2 linked regions of the Tamandua tetradactyla genome follow. The protein of the gene in region 1 purifies or fractionates together with the protein of each later gene. This does not show direct contact. Links are inferred from orthologs where the notes say so. Each region holds a gene or a part of one and is shown in the gene's direction. Other genes may lie near its edges. The genes, in order: DNAJA1 and ENDOG.

The links.
Region 2: the proteins of DNAJA1 (region 1) and ENDOG purify together in Homo sapiens (affinity purification with mass spectrometry; 3 studies listed by BioGRID and IntAct, counting the BioPlex papers as one, with this or other methods). This does not show direct contact. The link is inferred for Tamandua tetradactyla from reciprocal best matches to the Homo sapiens genes DNAJA1 and ENDOG.

The regions. Positions count from the first base shown.
Region 1 is NC_135328.1:62,869,164-62,879,717, reverse strand, and holds the start of DNAJA1 (dnaJ homolog subfamily A member 1), read left to right. Parts: upstream 1-5,754; 5' UTR 5,755-5,904; intron 5,905-6,360; exon of another isoform or gene 6,361-6,797; intron 6,798-7,049; 5' UTR 7,050-7,059; coding exon 7,060-7,191; intron 7,192-7,346; coding exon 7,347-7,524; intron 7,525-9,508; coding exon 9,509-9,613; intron 9,614-10,554.
Region 2 is NC_135328.1:51,647,620-51,657,455, forward strand, and holds ENDOG (endonuclease G, mitochondrial), read left to right. Parts: upstream 1-5,206; 5' UTR 5,207-5,529; coding exon 5,530-6,033; intron 6,034-7,132; coding exon 7,133-7,242; intron 7,243-8,240; exon of another isoform or gene 8,241-8,525; coding exon 8,526-8,808; 3' UTR 8,809-8,874; downstream 8,875-9,836. Other genes in the region: TBC1D13 (TBC1 domain family member 13), read left to right, coding at 1,525-1,846; SPOUT1 (28S rRNA (uridine-N(3))-methyltransferase), read right to left, coding at 8,965-9,033. UniProt on the Homo sapiens protein: Endonuclease that preferentially catalyzes the cleavage of double-stranded 5-hydroxymethylcytosine (5hmC)-modified DNA.

The DNA.
Region 1 (10,554 bases):
CTGCCCATGTAAAATAAATAAATAAATAAAAATTTAAAACCTTTATATGGCCAAAAAAGGTACAAATATGGATAATAAATAAAAAACTAAGAATACATTGGAAAACTAAAAGCAACACATAACAGACTAACATCTAATATCTCTAATATAAAAGTGCATCATTAAAATTGTGGCATCACACCATAGAAAAATGGTCAACAGAAGAAACGATCAGTAAACAGTTAAAAGATCCTTAACCACTCCAAAGAAACACATTAAAGAAACACGTTAAAACAATAAGGTAACAAGGGAACTTCCTTAAAATGATAGAGGGAATATATGAAAAACCCACAGCTAATATCATCCTCAATGGGGAAAAATTGAAAACTTTCCCCCCCTAAGATCAGGAACAAGACAACGATGTCCATTATCACCACTATTATTCAACATCGTGTTGGAGGTTCTAGCCAGAGCAATTAGACAAGAAAAAGAAATACAAGGCATCAAAATTGGAAAGGAAGAAGTAAAACTATCATTGTTTGCAGGCGATATGATACTATACATCGAAAACCCGGAAAAATCCACAACAAAACTACTAGAGCTAATAAATGAGTACAGCAAAGTAGCAGGTTACAAGATCAACATTCAAAAATCCGTAGCGTTTCTATACACTAGCAATGAACAAGCTGAGGGGGATATCAAGAAACGAATGCCATTTACAATTGCAACTAAAAGAATAAAGTACTTAGGAATAAATTTAACTAAAGAGACAAAAGACCTATACAAAGAAAACTACAAAAAATGGTTAAAAGAAATCACAGAAGACCTAAATAGATGGAAGGGCATACCGTGTTCATGGATTGGAAGACTAAATATAGTTAAGATGTCAATCCTACCTAAACTGATTTACAGATTCAATGCAATACCAATCAAAATCCCAAAAACTTATTTTTCAGAAATAGAAAAACCAATAAGCAAATTTATCTGGAAGGGCAGGGTGCCCCGAATTGCTAAAAGTATCTTGAGGAAAAAAAACGAAGCTGGAGGTCTCAAGCTGCCAGACTTTAAGGCATATTATGAAGCCACAGTGGTCAAAACAGCATGGTATTGGCATAAAGATAGATATATCGACCAATGGAATCGAATAGAGTGCTCAGATATAGACCCTCTCATCTATGGACATTTTATCTTTGATAAGGCAGTCAAGGCAATTCACCTGGAACAGAACAGTCTCTTCAATAAATGGTGCCTAGAGAACTGGATATCCATATGCAAAAGAATGAAAGAGGACCCCTATCTCACACCCTATACAAAAGTTAACTCAAAATGGATCAAAGATCTAAACATTAGGTCTAAGACCATAAAACAGTTAGAGGAAAATGTAGGGAGATATCTTATGAAACTTACAATTGGAGGCAGTTTTATGGACCTTAAACCTAAAGCAAGAGCACTGAAGAAAGAAATAAATAAATGGGAGCTCCTCAAAATTAAACACTTTTGTCCATCAAAGAACTTCATCAAGAAAGTAGAAAGACAGCCTACACAATGGGAATCAATATTTGGAAATGACATATCAGATAAAGGTCTAGTATCCAGAATTTATAAAGAGATTGTTCAACTCAACAACAAAAAGACAGCCAACCCAATTACAAAATGGGAAAAAGACTTGAACAGACACCTCTCAGAAGAGGAAATACAAATGGCCAAAAGGCACATGAAGAGATGCTCAATGTCCCTGGCCATTAGAGAAATGCAAATCAAAACCACAATGAGATATCATCTCACACCCACCAGAATAGCCATTATCAACAAAACAAAAAATGACAAGTGCTGGAGAGGATGCGGAGAAAGAGGCACACTTATTCACTGTTGGTGGGAATGTCAAATGGTGCAACCGCTGTGGAAGGCAGTTTGGTGATTCCTCAACAAGCTGAATATAGAATTGCCATACGACCCAGCAATACCATTGCTAGGTATCTACTCAGAGGACTTAAGGGCAAAGACACAAACGGACATTTGCACACCAATGTTTATAGCAGCATTATTTACAATTGCAAAGAGATGGAAACAGCCAAAATGTCCATCAACAGACAAGTGGCTAAACAAACTGTGGTATATACATACGATGGAATATTATGCAGCTTTAAGACAGAATAAACTTATGAATCATGTAATAACATGGATGGACCTAGAGAACATTATGCTGAGTGAGACTAGCCAAAAACCAAAAGACAAATACTGTATGGTCCCACTGATGTGAACCGACATTCGAGAATAAACTTGGAATATGTCATTGGTAACAGAGACCAGCACGAGTTAGAAACAGGGTAAGATAATGGGTAATTGGAGCTGAAGGGATACAGACTGTGCAACAGGACTAGATACAAAAACTCAAAAATGGACAGCACAATACTACCTAATTGTAATGTAATTATGTTAAAACACTGAATGAAGCTGCATCTGAGCTATAGTTTTTTTTGTTTGTGTGTTTTTTTATATACACTTTTTGTATTTTTTATTTTTATTTTTTTCTCTATATTATCATTTTATTTCTTTTTCTGTTGTCTTACTATTTCTTTTTCTAAATTGATGCAAATGTACTAAGAAATGATGATCATACATCTATGTGATATATTAAGAATTACTGATTGCATATGTAGAATGGAATGATTTCTAAATGTTGTGTTAGTTAATCTTTTTTTAATTAATAAAAAAACAATAAGGTATCATTTTTATCTCTAAAGCTGGCAAAGATTAAAAATAATAATAAAAGAACCCTCCATGTTGGCAAGGCCCACTCACACTGCTGGGGGCAGTACAGACTGATAGAACTTATATGGAAAGTTATTACGATTTTGAATCTGTACTCACTTTGACCCAGAAGTTTCAATTCTAAGTGTTCCTCCTACAGAAATAGATACATGAGTACCCAAAGATCTACTTGAGAACTCTCCTCTGTAGCACCGCTTGTAAAATGTTGTAAAAATAAAATTATTCATCAACAGGGGAACAGTTAAATGAATTATGGTCCTGCATACTACATACTATGAAATCATCGAAAATAGGAAGGTAGATATTTATCATGATATGCATGGTAACATAGCAGCAAATTTAGCAAAAAGGGCAAGGTACAAACACTATGCTATATATGATCCCATTTCTACAAAAAAATCACATAAACTTATCGCTGTTTTGGGTATTTTATGTAAATAAAAATGCTTCTTAAAAGCATTAACTTCTAAAGAAAAAAAAAGTGTCAAAACTTCTACTATTAAGGTGCCAGATTATTCGCCAGAATGTATTTTTCGAGATAGGTTCTATCAAGGAAAAACTGTCAAACGAACATATGTAAGGGTGGCTTTTAAGGCAACTATGACCTAACTTTGCTGTTGGGGTTACAAGTTACTAGCTCAAAGCTTGAATTGAGAGGGAAGAATTTTATACTTTTTTAAGCTGAGTTTTTAGTAAGTACTACATTCTTGTGGGTTAAAAATTCAAAAGCTTAAAAAAAGATACATTGTGAAATGCCTCTCTCATCTGTCCCCTCCCCCCAGTCCCTTTCTCCACAGCTCTCCCCATAGGCAACCATACAAGTTACTGTGTATCTTCAGAAGTAGTCTATGCATACACAAGCAATATATTTTTCATTAACCAACTTTTATGCCCATTATTTATTCACTTACTATATGAGCTTGCACATTTTAAAACTATCTTCAACATCACGTTTCACTGCGCCAAGTAGTTATCTTCATGTTTGTATCACATTTGCAGTTCTCAAACTTGTGGGTTTCTGAAGCAGAAACACTAAACATAGTAGTAGTCATTGTGGAAACTCTTGGTTGAAGTCATTTGATATATACCATACTGATGTTTACTTCATTTGCTTAATCAATATTAACATCATAAATGCATAACTTAAATTACAGTAAAGTAGGAACTCCAGGACTAAAACTCTTATGTAACACAAGAACAATATATTTAGTTATGGCTTATTTATTGTTCATGTCCATGCATGCCTTCACATCTGCTGGTTTCTGCTTGGCAAACCTAATTGTATGGTAAACAGTTCCCCAAATCGGCACCAAAATATTTTTTTTTCCAAGAATGGATTAATAGAACACTGTCTTTTCTGGTACCCCAAATATTCTTAATATATTATGTCTCTGGTTCCCTCACTACGTGGTGAGCTCCTTGAGGGCAGATACCATGACTTAGAAAATCGTTATATTGCACGCCGTAGCAATTACCGTCTGGCAATATTAGGCTTTAAATTAAGTGTGGGTTACACTTCATAAGTTATATGTAACACTGGAAAATTTAAGTGTTTAACAGGCAAAGCAAAATCACGCGGACTTGAAAAACTGCATTTGAGAAACTACAGACAGCTTGGTTGAAAGGTATCCCGTTTAAATCAATGAGGGCAATAAGGCTGAAGGGCAGGGTCATGCTTCCGAGTGAAGTTCAAAATTCTTAGCTTGGCAAGATATATCAAAGCATGGAGATATTTCCCAACGACCTGACTCCTCACCTCCAGCCACTCCGGCAGCCTTAGCTCTGGCTGTATTCAATTACTTACAATTTCCTAAAAACATCATACTTTCCCACACCTCTCAACCTTTTCTGTTTTATCCTTTCCTAGGAATGCTCTTCTCCCTTTTCAAAACTCCCTATAACCGTCATTTTCCCCAAAACGCTTTACTTTCCCCAATCAATCTAACGCTAGAAACTCTCCCCTCCTGACCACTATCTTGCCGTTCTGGTTTAGTTCAAAGGCTTCCCCTCTAAGTCCAAGAGATATGGCCCATGCTTTCTCAATTTTGCTGCTTCTTTGGTGCTAAATAGTCGTCATAAATTTAATGTATTACATTCAGGAAAATGGACACCGTTTTCCATTATGCTTCCTTCCCAACATTTGAATACCCAACGTTTCACTTCATAGACTCTAGATCCAAGTTCACAGAATGCTGGGACTTAAAAGTCACGTAAAACAATTTTTCACAGCTAGCCACTCTTAGCGCTACCGTGTCCCCGACTCGCCCAACCAGGAGGGATCCCTCGCCAGGGAAGGAGCTATGGTTCTCAGCTTGCACTAAGCAATCCTAAACGTTTCTCTGTTTACCACAATCCCAGACTCCTTGCACTCAATACGAAGGCGACAAAAAGGCTTAAGGCAGATAATGTGCACCTGGAGGCCGAGACATCCACAAAGGGCTCTTCCTCCCTCCCAGTTTGGTGAATTAAGAAGCTCTAGACTGTGTAAAAAAGACCAAATTTCAAGGCCTGAGAAGGGTCTGTGGACTAGGTCCACCTCGCTCAGCATTTCTTGCTCCGCGAGTTCCCAGAACTTCAGGGTCAAGAACTAACACAGTTGAAGGGGAAAGAGGGGGAAAAGGCGACGGTGGGGAGGAGGGGCTGCAGTGCTTTGTTCTGGGAAGTTCCCAATCGGCAGACGGCAGCCGCCTGGCTCCCGAGCCCTCCCCGCCCTATCGAGCAGCCGCAACCGCCCCAATAGTTTCAGATCCCCGAGTTGCATCGGAATTGCACCGCACAGGGCACAATAACCGCGTCCACCCGGGATTTCCGCACCTAGGGCTGCCGAAAGATAATGGCTCCAGAAGCTTCCAAAAGCGTCGAGAACGTGGGTTTGTACCCACCCCCCACACAAGGCCCTTCCGCGCAGCCCCTCCCAGCCCAAGTGCCCCCGCGCCGTTGCCCAGGTAACCGTGGGCGGTGGCAGTGGCCGGGAGGGGCGGGACTTCCGGCGAGTGACGCGCCCCGGCTCGACTACAAAAGACGACGGCTGCGGCGCGCCGGCCGGAACTTTCCAGAACGCTCGGTGAGAGGTGGAGGAGTGGTGGGTGCCTGAGCTGCGCACAGCGACGCGCTCCTTCCCGCTCCCCCTCACCAGCCTCGGCCTGCTCACCGGTGAGTCTCAGCCCTCGCATTTTCCTTCGTCCCCAGGCTGGCACTCTTGAGGCACTGGGGATTCAGGTGGAGCCGCGGTTAGAGGCGGTTAGCTCCGCGTGGGCGGGAGGGTTGTCGGTTCCTGTATCCACGATTCCCCATTCCGGTATCCACGGACTGTACTCCGACAGTCCATCCCCGGTACCCAGTAAGTGGACGTGAGGCCTTCTCTGAGTGCCCCCCCACGCAGCCCCCCCCCCACGCAGCCCCCCCCCCCCACGTAACCATCCCCCAACCAGCCTGAGGTCCCCAGGGAGCCGCCGTCTCCGCCTCCGCTTCCCCTCCGCGCGCGCCCTGGCGCCCCCTCCGCCCGCGCTCGCTCGGAGTGGGCGCCTTTGCGCGCAGGCGCGGGGGGAGGTAGGGGCCAGGGGCTGCGGGAGGGGTGGGGCGGAAGCTGCCGCTTTCGTTTCTTCTCCCTGCCTTCGTTCTTTGTTTAGGCCTGGGCTTCTACCCCCACCTCTTAGATACAGGGTAGGAAGGAGAAAGGAAGGAAACGGCGCCAAGTGAGGGGAGAAACCTGGCGAGATGTAAATACAGTGGTTGACACTGGCTTGTAGGGCAGGAGGGACTCGGCGATGAAAGCGGAGGAGATATAAGCTCCTTGATTGAGAGCTGTCCCTCAGGATGGGAGGGAGGGGCGCTTACTCTCTGAAAGTAATGTTCCTAATGAGTTCCATAAACCACGTTGTCCACCCACCCCCGGTCGAGCCCAGATGTATTTTCTTAGTGTTTGGCGTTCATCGAATTTACTGAAGACAATGATAATGTAATAACCGATGGACTGAATATGGTGGTGTTCTTTGGATGACTGCTGTTTTGTCACCATCTCTGGGGATAGGAAATAAGCAATCCAGGTTAATTGTCGCGTTTTTACAGAGGCTTTCATTTGGGAGAGTGGGAACCAACTGCTAAGACTTGAATTTTTCTCTTAGTTGTTAGTGTGTATGTGGTCTGTTAGAACTCGGGCTGAATTATCATAGGAATCCTTATCTTTACTCTGAAGTTTAAGAAGCTGTGTTATTTTAATCAGATCTTGGCAAAGGACAGGTTTTACTAACTGAAAGTACAAATTGAAAGTCCCTTAAAATTGCATTTTTTAATTTCAGGCTGTAGAAAATGGTGAAAGAAACCACTTACTATGATGTTTTGGGGGTCAAACCCAATGCCACCCAGGAAGAGTTGAAAAAGGCTTACAGGAAACTTGCCTTGAAATACCACCCTGATAAGAATCCAAATGAAGGCGAGAAGGCAAGTAATACATATCCTTAAACTTGTCTGAATAGTTTTTTGCCAGACGTATGAAATATTTTAGGACCTGGAATTGAGAGTGCCTAATATAGTGGCTATGCTTTGTTATACTTTTGTTTAAAAAACACGAAATTTGTTTCCTTTCTTGTAAACAGTTTAAACAGATTTCGCAAGCTTATGAAGTGCTCTCTGATGCCAAGAAAAGAGAATTATATGACAAAGGAGGAGAACAGGCCATTAAAGAGGGTGGAGCAGGAGGGGGTTTTGGCTCCCCTATGGACATCTTTGATATGTTTTTTGGAGGTGGTGGAAGGATGCAGAGAGAAAGGAGAGGTAAGAATAACCTGGTCAATATGCAACAAATTAAAGTAGCCATTGAACAAAGCAAATTCTTGTGACGTCATTTATTCCAGTGCTTTCTAACTTGTTGGTACAAAGTTGCAACTGGCCACAAACTGATTTATAATTTTTGTAAGTGAAGATTTGATGGAACTAAAAATGCTTAAGGTAATTAAGTGGTAATAAATAAGTGCTTCTAGTAAGTTTTAGCTTTTAGACTAAAGCTAAAGTTAATTAAGGGGACAAAGTTTAACAGTATAATTTTCTAAGCCGTTTTTACAGCTCTTTGGTGCAACACAGTGGTGGGTACTGTGGCCTTTTTTTCAATCAAGGGTGAGTTAGTGTTCAGAAACTTGACGTAGTCAAGGTCTTACAGGATTGAAAGATAGCTTCGTCGCCTCCAAGTAACTTAACTGTTGAATCTTGCACCACTTTTACCAAACTATACGTTTATAGCATTGAACAGAAATGTGGTTGTGTACTGTAAAACTACAGTATTCTGGTCAAGAGAAATTGCTCTGACTTTGTTCTCAGTATAGTTAGTACAAACAGGGTTTAATGGTTAGAAGCCAGTTTCAGAACAAACTAGCAAGCATTAAATTTCACTGTTGAGATTTTACCGTTCAAAAAGACTTTGGAAGTTGTTGGTTTACTCAGTCCTCACAAAGGTCTTCAAGGAAACAAATATGTTTTTATTTGCTCATTTTGTAGAAATTTACTATAAAAAGAAAATCTACAATCCAAATTAGTTGCTTTATTAGTAAATTATTAGGATTGATTTTTTGTTTTTTTAGTAACAACTATTCGTAAATTCCTATATGGCTTAGATCAATAAGAAGCCAACATATTAGACCAGAAAATAGTGTGCTTCATCAAACTTTAGAAATTTTATTTTTCCTTCTTTACATTTCCGACTCCGTATAACAAAGTTTAAAGTAAAAAACATAGCTTTTAGCATGCAGAATTAACTTCATGGGACTGTACAATACGGAACCCAGAGGTGCAGTTAGGAGCAGAAGGGTATAGTTCGTGGTATGTGACATGTAGCTGAAACAAACAAAAATGTTCCTTGGGCATGTTATGCAGGAAGAAGTTTCAGAACTTTTTCATTTAGGTGTAAGATAGTACTGTTTGGTGGTGGATAAAGTCCTTGTGGAAGAATCACTAGGCTAGGAACTTATTAACTAACCATTGACAGGTGACTTCATTTCTTTATCCACAGTGTCCTTATATGATCTTAACCTTCCACTTTCCATTCTAAGGATGCCATTCCTTTTTAACCACTGGCCACATGTAGTTCTTAAATGTAGAGTAATTTAAAATAAAATAAAAAGTCAATTCCTCACAGTAGTCACATTTTATGGGCTCGATAGCCAAATGTGACAGATGGCTGCTGTACTGGCCAGTGCAGATATAAAATGTTTCCTTAGTTATAGAAAGTTGTAAGTTATAAGAAAGCTAATCTTTAAACAAGTGCTGGCCCACATTAAAAAGTTATATTCCTGTTGATCAAGAAGGGATGTAGGAATTTATAAGGCGACTCAGATACAACAGCTTTCCTTACAGATTTCAGTTACTAGGAGCTTACTATGCGGAAGAATCTTTGAGTGACATATGGGCATGTTGTTCCATATCACACAAAATGAAAGGTTCCAAGAATATATTAGAAACAAAAGTTTGGATTAATTCTTTGAAATGTGCCTATTTAGATAACATTGATTTTTTTTTTCCCCAGAAGTTTTTGCAGGTAATGTTTTTATTGTAATTTGTAAAATGGCCACATCTATATCCCCAGGCAAATTAACTTCGTTTCTGACCCAAGTAACCTTATCTGTAATTGCATCACAGTTCAAGGATGATATGTGATAAATATGAACATTCTGTGTATGTGCTCATACTTCAACACATACTTCGTTATCCTTTACAATTTTAATAGTGTCTTAACACAAGGGTTTTAATAAATAATATTTTGCTTTAGGTAAAAATGTTGTACATCAACTCTCAGTAACCTTAGAAGATTTATATAATGGTGCAACAAGAAAACTAGCTCTGCAAAAGAATGTGATTTGCGACAAATGTGAAGGTATGATTGTTTTAGTTTGCTAATGTGGAGATGGCTATATATCAGAAATGGGTTGGTTTTTTTTTAATTTATTAATTAAAAAAATTAAGAACAAACAAAAACATTAACGTATCATTCCGTTCTACATATATAATCAGTAATTCTCAATATCATTACATTGTGGCATATTTATCATTTCTAAGAACATTTGCACCAATTCAGAAAAAGAAATAAAACGATAACAGGGAAAAAAAGATTATACATACCATACCCCTTACACCTCGCTTTCATTCATCACTAGCATCTCAAACTAAATTTATTTTAACATTTGTTCCCCCTATTATTATTATTCCATATGTTCTACTCGTCTGTTGACATGGTAGATAAAAGGAGCATCAGACACAAGGTTTTCACAATCACACAGTCATTGTGAAAGCTATATCATTATTCAATCATCATCAAGGAACATGGCTACTGGAACACAGCTCTACATTTTCAGGCAGTTCCCTCCAGCTTCTCCATTACATCTTGAATAACAAGATGATGTCTACTTAATGCGTTAAGAATAACCTCCAGGATAACCTCTTGACTCTGTTTGGAATCTCTCAGCCATTGACAGTCTCATTTCACTCTTCCCCCTTTTGGTCGAGAAAGTTTTCTCAATCCCTTGATGCTGAGTCTCAGCTCATTCCAGGATTTCTGTCCCACCTTGCCAGGAAGGTCCACATCCCTGGGAGTCAGTTCTCTGGAGTCATGTCATGTCCCACGTAGACAGGGGGAGGATGGTGAGTTTTCTTGTTGTGTTGGCTGGAGAGAAAGGCCACATGTGAGCAACAGAGAGGCTCTCTTGGGGGTAACTCTTAGGCCTAAATTTTAAGTAGACTTGACCTATCCTTTGTGGGGTTAATTTTCATATGAACAAACCCCAAGCCTGGGGGGCTCAGCCTGTAGCTTTGGTTGTC
Region 2 (9,836 bases), about 11 Mb from region 1:
AAAGGGAGGAACTCTGCCCTCAGGAGAGTAGGGGGTTCCTCTCACAGAGCTGGAATGAGCCTCTGAGAGAACTTTAAAGCAAACTCACTGTGGGTGGTAAAGGAAGGAGTGGGAAGGGGCTTAGCTGTGCCTTCATCTTTAGAGTGGCCCAGGGTTCTAGAGCTTTTGCTGTTTGTGTTTCTTAGACTGATCCGGGAGCAGTTGCTGGAAGGGGACTTTACTGTAAACATGCGGCTCCTGCAGGTAATAGAAGTTTGGAGGGGCAAGCTCTGTCTTTATTCAGGCACCCACCCTGTTCCTGCTGCTGTGACAGGCTAGGGTCAGGAACAGTAAAGTGTAGAGTGCAGCAGGAATCCAAATCCTTGAGGCAGAGCTGGGTTTGAATATTGGCTCTGCCACTGTCCTTGAGTGTTGTATTGCCTTTAGTGAATGACTTGGCCTCTCTAAACTAAGTGCTTTCCAGAAGTTAAGTGTACCTCTAGCACAGCGGGCACCCTGGTAATGCTCACCATAATCATGCTCAGGGATGGAGGGACTTAGAAAGGAGAGGGTGGAGCCTTGTGGTTAAGAACATGGACACAAGGGTCGGGCAGCTTTGAATTTGTGTCTTTGTGCTGCTATACTAGTCATATGACCTGAGACAAGTACCAACCTCTCTAGACCTCCGTTTCTTCATCAACTCCTGGCCTAGGGTTGGTTTTTAATAACTTCGTTGTCTAAATCAAGTAAATCGTAGAACTGTTGTGATAATTCAGTGAGGTAATACATGGATGGTGTTTGACACAGTACCAGGCTCATTATGAATGGAACTCAGGTTTTGAGGGCAGCGGCTGGGGAGAGGTGAGGTTGGATAGGGTCTGGTCCTAAGGAACCAGCTATGACCCTTTGGGTGGCACTGGTTGGGTTGGTTAAGTTAGTACTGCAGTGGATGTAGCATTAGCTACCTCAGGACTTTGGGCAGCAACACAGGGTATCTGGTATCCGTGGTCCCTGTCCTTGAGTCTGAGAGTCCCAGCACAGTGAAGGCCCCTGTGGAAAGGCAGGGATATGACAAAGGTGGCAAAGAGTCAGGTTACTTCACAGGCATATTGTTGGCCTTTCTTTCTTTCTTTTTTTTTTTTTAAAGTATAAGGTTTTAATTATACTTAATTGGTATTAACTATATTTTTAATTCTATCCACAAGCCCTTACAAGTTCCCTAGATACCAGTGCTTCTCATCTGCTGCCTGGCCCAAGCAGAGGCGAAAATAAAGCCCTCCCCACTACTTCCCCAAAGCTTAATAGCAATATCCTGATATTTTCAAATGTAAACTTACTATACTACATAGACTCTACATTACATAGTGTACCGTTATATATGAATTCTAAGACTTGGAGACCTAACACTGCCTGTGTTCTTGTAATGCCAGGGCCAAAATGTTACTTCTGTTTTATTAGGTCCCCATCCACCCACCCACCCCACCATCATCACACTTTTTCTATTCTAACAAAATGTATATTATTGTTGGCCTTTCTTATGTCTAGGATTACCCCATCACAGATGTCTGCCAGATCTTACAGAAAGCCAAGGAACTCCAAGACTCAAAGTAGCCTCGTGACAGGAGACCCAGGTTTGGGAGAGAAGCCACCCGACCCCTGTGCCCTTACTTCTGAGATGTGCAGAAGCCTGTGGGATCCCCAGCCGGACGGGAAGCTGCAGAATTGGCCATACTCCAGGCCTTCTCACCCTGGCTCCCTTGACCTAGGCCGCTCCCATTGGGGGCACACTGTGCTGTTATTCCCTAACCACCAAGCCCTGTCTTCCTCCCTGCTCTTCATCCCTGGGGCCCTCTGCCCAGACTGCTGAGCAAGGTTGGAACTCATGAAGTTCTGTTTCCCAGGACTGAGGACAGCTTAAGGGGACTGGGAGACTGGCAAGGGTCCCTTCCTGCCTCTGTTGTGGCTCCCTTTCTCCTTTCCTGCTTCTCATCTTCCCCTGGAGTCTGGTAAGGGGGAGTGGTGAAGAAGCTGGGCAGATGGCTCAGATTCCACTTCATCTGAGCATTGGTGCTTATCCTTCTCCATGGGGAAAGTGACACTATGAAGGAGCCAAGAGGCTGACAGGCTGAGGTCATGCCATCCATCTCTCTTCCACTGAGTGTACATGCCTGGTTGTAGGTTGGCTTAGATGTACCTCTGAATTCCACAGGTGTCTCAGCAGCTTTTCTGTCTTGTCTGTCAGTCAGTGGGTATGTAAGGGTATCTTTGAATCCCTCTAGGTCTGTCTCTCTACCTCTCTATCTCTGGTTCCCTCTCTTTTCCCTCTGCCTCTTTCACCGAGGGTGTGAATAACTCTTACTCTGGTATGTTCCTCTCCATTGCTTTCCCTCTGCCCTTTTCTCTTGGGGTGCCTTATCCTGAGCCTCTTCCCCTCCTTCCCTCTCTGTTCCCGTCAACCTGTAAGACAGATTGTGGAAGAGTCTTGCTCAGCAAAGCCTCAGGAGGTCAACCTTGGCCTTTGCATCTTGTTCCTATCTCCCAGTCCTAGGCTCCCTGGTCCTTCTAAATGGGAGGAAATCCATAGTGCCTCTCTAGAGGTCCCTTAACTTGTTCCCCACAATAGAAATCTTGGAAACCAGAAGCTGCTGAGGAATGAAGAGGGAGATAAGTCTCTCTCCAGAGTCCACCCTGAGGCCCTTCTCTCTTTGGGGATTGTCTGTACTCCAAGGGAATAGAAAAGGTAATTCTATTCCAAGGGTTGGGATCCAAGTGCTTCCTAAGAATTGTCACTCCCTTGGCTTCCAGGTCCCAGTGCAGGGTAGTGAGTCCCAAAAAGGGTAAGTGGAATCCTGTTTGTGCCTGTTATAGCTGAGCTCAAAGGTCCTGAATCCTGTTTGTGCCATGAGGGCCTTGTCTCTGCTCCATTGTGTGTCCTGTCATCTCCTAAGCAGGCTGAAGGAGGTACTCACCCTTCTCTTCTAGTCACCTGCTTTGGCTGTTCCCAGAATTTTGGGCAGGTGAACTCTGAACAGGAGCAGCTGGCTACTCCTGGGGCTGGGCTGTGGGAGGAGTGGTACTTATGCCCACCATACTCCCTCCCTTCTTTTGTGAGGAGGCAGGTGATTTTGGCCTGGAAGGGCAGGTACTGTAGCAGGGGCCCTTAGCCTCCCTAGACTGGCCAGCAGGAACAAAGCTGTGGGAGTCCTCTTGCTTCAAAGCTTTCCTAAATCAGGCAGCCAGGCCCAGCTGTGGACCAGAAACGGCTTACCCCAGCAAATGCTCTACCTTGGATTCTGCTGGAACTTTATGCACTTGCCTTTTTTGCTGATACTTCTCTTGATACTCAGTATTTGGGGGAGATAGTAACTATTTATTCAGACTCTTGATTATTTATTACAGATTAGCAAGTGCTTAATTTAGGCTTGGGGCTGGTGCACAGAAGGTAGAGCTGGAGACAGTGTCGTCCTGATTTCTGAAGGTCAGAGCCAGCATCCTCTCCTCTTGCCTCTGGGACTTTTCTGGGTTTCTACAGGTTCTGGCTGGGAGGGTTCTAAATTCTATACTGGATGTGAGTGGAAGGGTAGAGAGAAGACAACTGGTATGCTTGCCATACCCTGAGACCCCTGTGATGGGGCAGAGACACACACTGCTTTCCCCAGCCTGACCCACCCTCCTCCCAGGGCTTGTCAGCTGGTGGTTCAGCCCCAACTTTGATCTCTTCACAGACTCAGGCCTGGGCCCTGGCCTGGGACCCAGCAGACACTGCCCAGGACAGCTATGCATCCCCTCTTGCCTGTTCACCTTCCTTCCTTCCCTGGGCTGTACTACTTGAATCACTGTACCTAGTTTGCCTCAGTGGCAGACCTGTGTCCAGTGCCCTCTCCTTGATCTTGGGATGAAGGTCAAGATCATAGGGACCATGTTCTAGTTAGGATGAGCTTCCCAGTAGGATACTGCCTAAGGGAAGGACCTGCCCTTGACTATTCCCTGTCCCCCATTCCTCAAGGAAGGGCCCAAGAGAGCCACAGTGCCCAAGGCTTCCTACTTGAGAAACTGTCCCCCGGACTTCAGACACTTCTACAGATTAGGCTGTATGAGTTTAGCAGGCCTCACTCCAGAGGGTGGGAATGTTAGTCTGCTTTTGTGTTTTCTTTTTTTTTTTTCTTGAATCAATGCTGGTGATGACAAATTGTCTTTAATAAATCATGTGTTCTTTCCAGTGGCCATTGGTGCTATCCTCTACTGAAAACTCTAGGAGCAGGGAAAAAAGTTTGAGCAAGGATAGAGTCAGACGTCTCAGAGTGGTCTAAACAAAATCCAGGAAATCTTGTTGCAAGAGCCTATTCAGATCTTCTAATTCAACTACAGCAATATACATCTGGAAGTATAAAGGAATGTTGACTAGGAAAGTACTTCTAACATGGTTACACAGCAAATTATTTTTTAAAAAACTTTGAAAATTCAAAAACACGTAACTAAAACAAGTCACCCATTATCCTATAATCTGGAGATAATTGATACCATTTTATTTTTTATGCAGATGTAATTCTTTTTATTGATGTACTGTTTTGTATATGTCCCTATTTAAGATAATAGCATGTTGCTGTAAAATATTTTCATGGGCTACATACTATTTCATCTAATATGCTAATATATGTCCACTAGCCAGTCCCTATTTCTGAATCTTTTGCTTATTCTAGCACCTATTATTTAAATAACACTGTGTTGAATATTCGTGTTTGAAATCTTGCATTTTTTATTATTTTCCCAGCTCAGTTGTCTAAGTAGGTTGAAAGGTTTGAGCCTTTTCAAGGCTTTTCATGCATCCTGCCAAGCTGCTTTTTGGAATCGTTGTACCGGTTTCTGTTCCACCCAGCTGTTTGCATAGGCTGCCTGCATCCTTGTCTCAGCTCTGGATGCTGTTAAGGAAATCTTTACCAGTCTGGTAGCATTTTGGCTTATTTTACAGTGTTATGGTTAGGAAGACGGGCTCTGATGTCAGACTTGTGGTCTTGTCCTTGTCCTGCCAACCAAGAACTCCCTCTAGGAGCTCTTTTAAAAAAAAATTTTTTTTTCTTGGAGCTCTTTTGAGTATTACATGAAGTAGTAATTAAAGAGTTTAGACCTGTACTTGACACTTCTTGGAGCTTATTAAGAAATAGCTGTACGGCCTGGATGGGGGAGGGTCCCTCGGTGTAGACACGTGGGGGGGGGCAGGGCGGAGCCGGGCAGGCGATGGCCAGTCCTAGCGCAAAGTGGGCCTGCCACACTTCAAGCCTGCGTCTTTAAAGAGCAAAGAACGAGAGCCGAAATGTGCACCCGCTGCTGGTCCTTCTCTCGTTGCGAGTCTCCAGCCTTTCTGAGCAATTGTGAATAGAAAGACGGACGAATCCTCACCCTCCCACGTCTCCGCCTGCCCCCATCCTCACGGTGGGCCCGCGGGCTGGTGCGGCCCCTTTAAGAGCCTCACGGGTTGGGCGTCGGAGGTCGCCGGGTTCCCTCTGTCCCGAGTGGCACTTTCCATTCCCGCTCCCACTACGGTGCTGGATTATGCGGGCGCTGCGGGCCGGCCTGACCCTGGCGCTGGGCGCTGGGCTGGGCGCGGCCGCCGAAGGCTGGCGGCGGCGGCAGGCAGAGGCACAAGCAGCGCCCATACTTCTGGGCAGGCTGCCCGTGCTGCCCGTGGCGGCTGCCGAGCTGCCCGCGGTGCCCGGGGGACCAGCGAGTGGCGGCCCGGGTGAGCTGGCCAAGTACGGGCTGCCGGGGCTGGCTCAGCTCAAGAACCGCGAATCGTACGTGTTGTGCTACGACCCGCGCACCCGCGGCGCGCTCTGGGTGATCGAGCAGCTGCGGCCCGAGCGGCTCCGCGGCGATGGCGACCGCCGTTCCTGCGACTTTCGCGAGGACGAATCGGTGCACGCGTACCACCGCGCCACCAACTCCGACTACCGCGGCAGCGGCTTCGACCGCGGCCACCTCGCCGCCGCTGCCAACCACCGCTGGAGCCAGAAAGCCATGGACGACACCTTCTACCTGAGCAACGTCTCGCCCCAGGTAGCGCTTTGCCTCTCTGAGCCTGGATTTGCCCCTTTGCAGCATGGAGTCGCCGCCGGGTGCGCGCTCCAGGCCAGGTGCCTTACTGATCCTGCCTTGCACTTGTAGGAGGAAGGGGAGAGCGCCGCCTCTGCTGTGGGCCGCGCCTGAGCGTCAGTGCTCTCGTCTGTAAAATGGGGTAATTCCCTCTTGCGGTAGTGTTGAGGAATTAAAGATACAATGCATGTAAAGTACTGAATACACTTCCTGGCCCACGGCAAGCATTCAGTGAATGTTAATTAGTGGCTTTTTTTTGAGAAAGCTGAGGTTTGGAGAGGCCAAGTGACTAATCCAGTGTCACACACCTTGGAAGGAGGAGAACCCAGGCAGTCTATATAGACGAACCTAAGTTTTCAGCCATTGCCCCCTAATCTGCCTGTCTGAGAGGAGCAAAAGGAAAAATAGCTGGCAAGCATTCAGGCTGTTAATACCAGTTACCGTGTACCCTGGATAAGCCACTCAACCTCTGGCCCCACTCCCAACAGGGTCTGGCACCCAGTCCATGGAGGTTGATGTGGGGCTCTGAATGGCCTGTGGGGTATGAGCTTCCAGCCTGACTTCTTTTTATGCTCTCTCAATAGTACAGTCCTTTACCCATTTTATTAGACATCATAATGAGGCCTGGGCGCCAGCTAAAGTGATGGAGTCAGTAGCAGATTCAAGAAGTTCTCGCTAAGCTCTACACGTAGTTTAGATTAGAAGGAAAGAAGAGATGGTTGGGAGAGCTGGTCTTCTGGTGAAGCCCTCTGCAGGCCAGGCCTGTTTCTTTCATCTTAATGGGGAAGATGTACGTCTTCCTTCATATACCTCTTTGAAACTGAGACTTAGGGGTGCCTAGCCCTTCCATTCTAGATGGGAGGGTAGCATCTTCATTAGCCATATTTGGACTTGGCCCTCATGACCATGTCACCTTGGGGAATGACTCTCCTTTGTGAACCTCACTTTCCTGCTCTTGCTTGCCCATAGCTAGATATCCCCCTGCTTGATGCCAACATCCCCTCAGGGCCTGGGACAGTCCTGGGAAAAGGGGAATACCCCACTTAACCCCCTTTCCTCCCAGGTACCCCACCTCAACCAGAATGCCTGGAACAACCTGGAGAAGTACAGCCGCAGCTTGACCCGTACCTATCAAAATGTCTATGTTTGCACAGGGCCTCTCTTCCTGCCCAGGTGAGACTGAAACTAGGGGTGGGGGGACCTGGGGATGACATGGTCTCCCACCCATCTGGAAGTCCCTTCTTACCACTCACGCTTGCCTCAGGCTCCGGATCAACACCAAGTCAGTACTCTTCTGGTTCTTGATAGGTCTGTCCTTCTCCCTGCCTTGGACCTGCATTCCATTCCATTTGGGTATCCACCTACACCATTTCTCTCTTGGACCCTAAGTCTGCCTTGCTCCTCTCTCCATTACCTCTGAGTTTGCCCTGCTCCTCTCCATTACCTCTTCCCATACCCAATCCCAGCCAAATTTGTATTCTACCTAGGCAGAAACCCTTGCAGATCCCTCAATGCACCAAGCTCTTTTGCCTTGGGTTTTCTCTGCTCTGAACACCCTTCCCCTGGAGCCAGCATTTTAACTCAGATCTGACTGGTTCAAAACCTTCACTATTGTGCCTTGGTGTAACTCTAGCTCCCAGGTCAAAGGGAATGAGGTTCTCTGCACAATCTGATTTTTTCTGGTCTGTTGAGGATAGGGATGAGCAAGGCAATAGGTTGTGGCTAAGCAGCTGGCTTTGGAGTGTACAGACCTGGGATGGAATCTGGGTCCTAATACCTAGTTCTTAGGTGGTGGTAGGCAAGTGACCTATAAGCCTGAATGACCCTCCTGTAAGAAGAGGACTGTACCTCTTACCTCAGGGTTGTTGAGGGGACTGAGTAGAATGGTGAATGTCACCTGCTTAGCTCAGGGTCTGGCCAACAATAAGGGCTTGGCAGGAGCTGGCTGGGGTGGTGGCTGGAGAATTGATAAGCTTTAATTAGCAAGTGCCTCCTATGGCCTACAGAAATGGAGTAAATCATTCATTCAGTGTTCTGGGTACCTACTACACACCAGGCCCTTTGCTGGGTACTGGGGATTAAATCATCATGGTCCTTGCATACCACCCACAGAGAGAGACAAACAGTAATTAAATGCCCACAAGAGGAATGTGAATGTTTAGGAGGCCTGGTTCTTTTAGCAGTATTTATTGCCATGTACTCTGCCTGGCTCAGTATTGGGCATGAAGAAAACACTTCAGGGTAAGAGGCAGTGCCCTCCCTGTTAAGAGTTCAGCCTCATGGGGGAGCTGAGCAAGGTACAGAAGCCTCACACTCAAGGGGCTGCCCTGCATTTGACAGAAGTGGACTTTGGGTCAGGGAAGGCTTCCTGGAGGAAGAGGCGTTGGCATGGGGTTGGACCAAGCCTCAGGCCCCCAGGAAGCCCTGAAAGGACATGTGCTTGGGTCTGCCCACAGGACGGAGGCTGATGGAAAGTCCTACGTGAAGTACCAGGTCATTGGTAAGAACCATGTGGCAGTGCCGACGCACTTCTTCAAGGTGCTGATCTTGGAGGCAGCAGGTGGGCAGATTGAGCTCCGCTCCTATGTGATGCCCAACGCACCTGTGGACGAGGCCATCCCACTGGAGCGCTTCCTGGTGCCCATTGAGAGCATCGAGAGGGCCTCAGGGCTGCTTTTTGTGCCAAACATCCTGGCACGAGCAGGCAACGTCAAGGCCATCACTGCTGGTAGCAAGTGAGGGAGGCAGCCTGATGAGACTGTGGGTATACAGGAGTTGGATCACATTAAATGTAGTTATTTTTGAGACAGGTCTTGGCTATGTCTGTCCCAGATGTCTTGTAGGAACCCCTGGCTTCAACGCTGCTGTTTCAGTTTCTTGGGCCAGAAAGAACCTTCAGCTGGGCCTGGCACCTGCCTGGGTGAGGCCAGGCTGCAGGGCAGACAGGGAGATGAGGATGGCTTCCTGGAAGAGAAGTGTGACAGTATGCTGGGACAAGGCTGCCTGGGTCCCCTGGCTCCTTACCTCTCTTCAGTGTCTTACTGCCCAGGACTGAGCTCCTTGGGACTTTGTTCCTCAGCAGTGCAATGTAGAGGTTAAGGACAGACCCAGGACCATTTTTCAGAATCTGCCACTTGGCTAGCTGCATACTTGCCAAAGACAGGCCTCACCTTTCTGTTCCTCAGTCTCTTTCTATATAAAATGGGGATGACAGTAATGATTCCTACCTCCCGGGATCAGGGGGAGGCTCTCCCAAGATAATAGGCAGGAAGTTCTTGGTCCTCAACGTGGGTATTAGAAGGATGAGAACCAGAGTTCTGCTGGGAGGGTGAGGGTAGCAGGATCACAGCACCTGGCCGAGGGAGAGCCCCTGGGAACACGTAGACTGGGGCTGTCCACTCTGTGTAATCACCACCCCTCTGAGACTGATGGGAGCAATAGAACCTCACCCTAGGTAGGTGCCCAAAGGGACAGTGTTCTGGCTGCCTTAGAAGTGGGTTCACAGGTTCTGTGGATACCTAGGACCAAGGCTCTCAGATCTAGCAGTATACTACTTCCTTAAAGAGGTGGTATCGGGTGGTTCAGTGGAAGAATGCTTGCCTGCTATGTGGGAAACCCGGGTTTGATTCCCTGCCCGTGCATCCTCCAAAAAAAACAAAAGAGAGATGCAAGTAGGGCTCAAAGTGGAGAGCGCCATATACCTGCAATTATACAAGAGAGTAGGAAGAGCCCAATTTGGGAAAAGGCTGGGACTGGAGGTGGGGGAG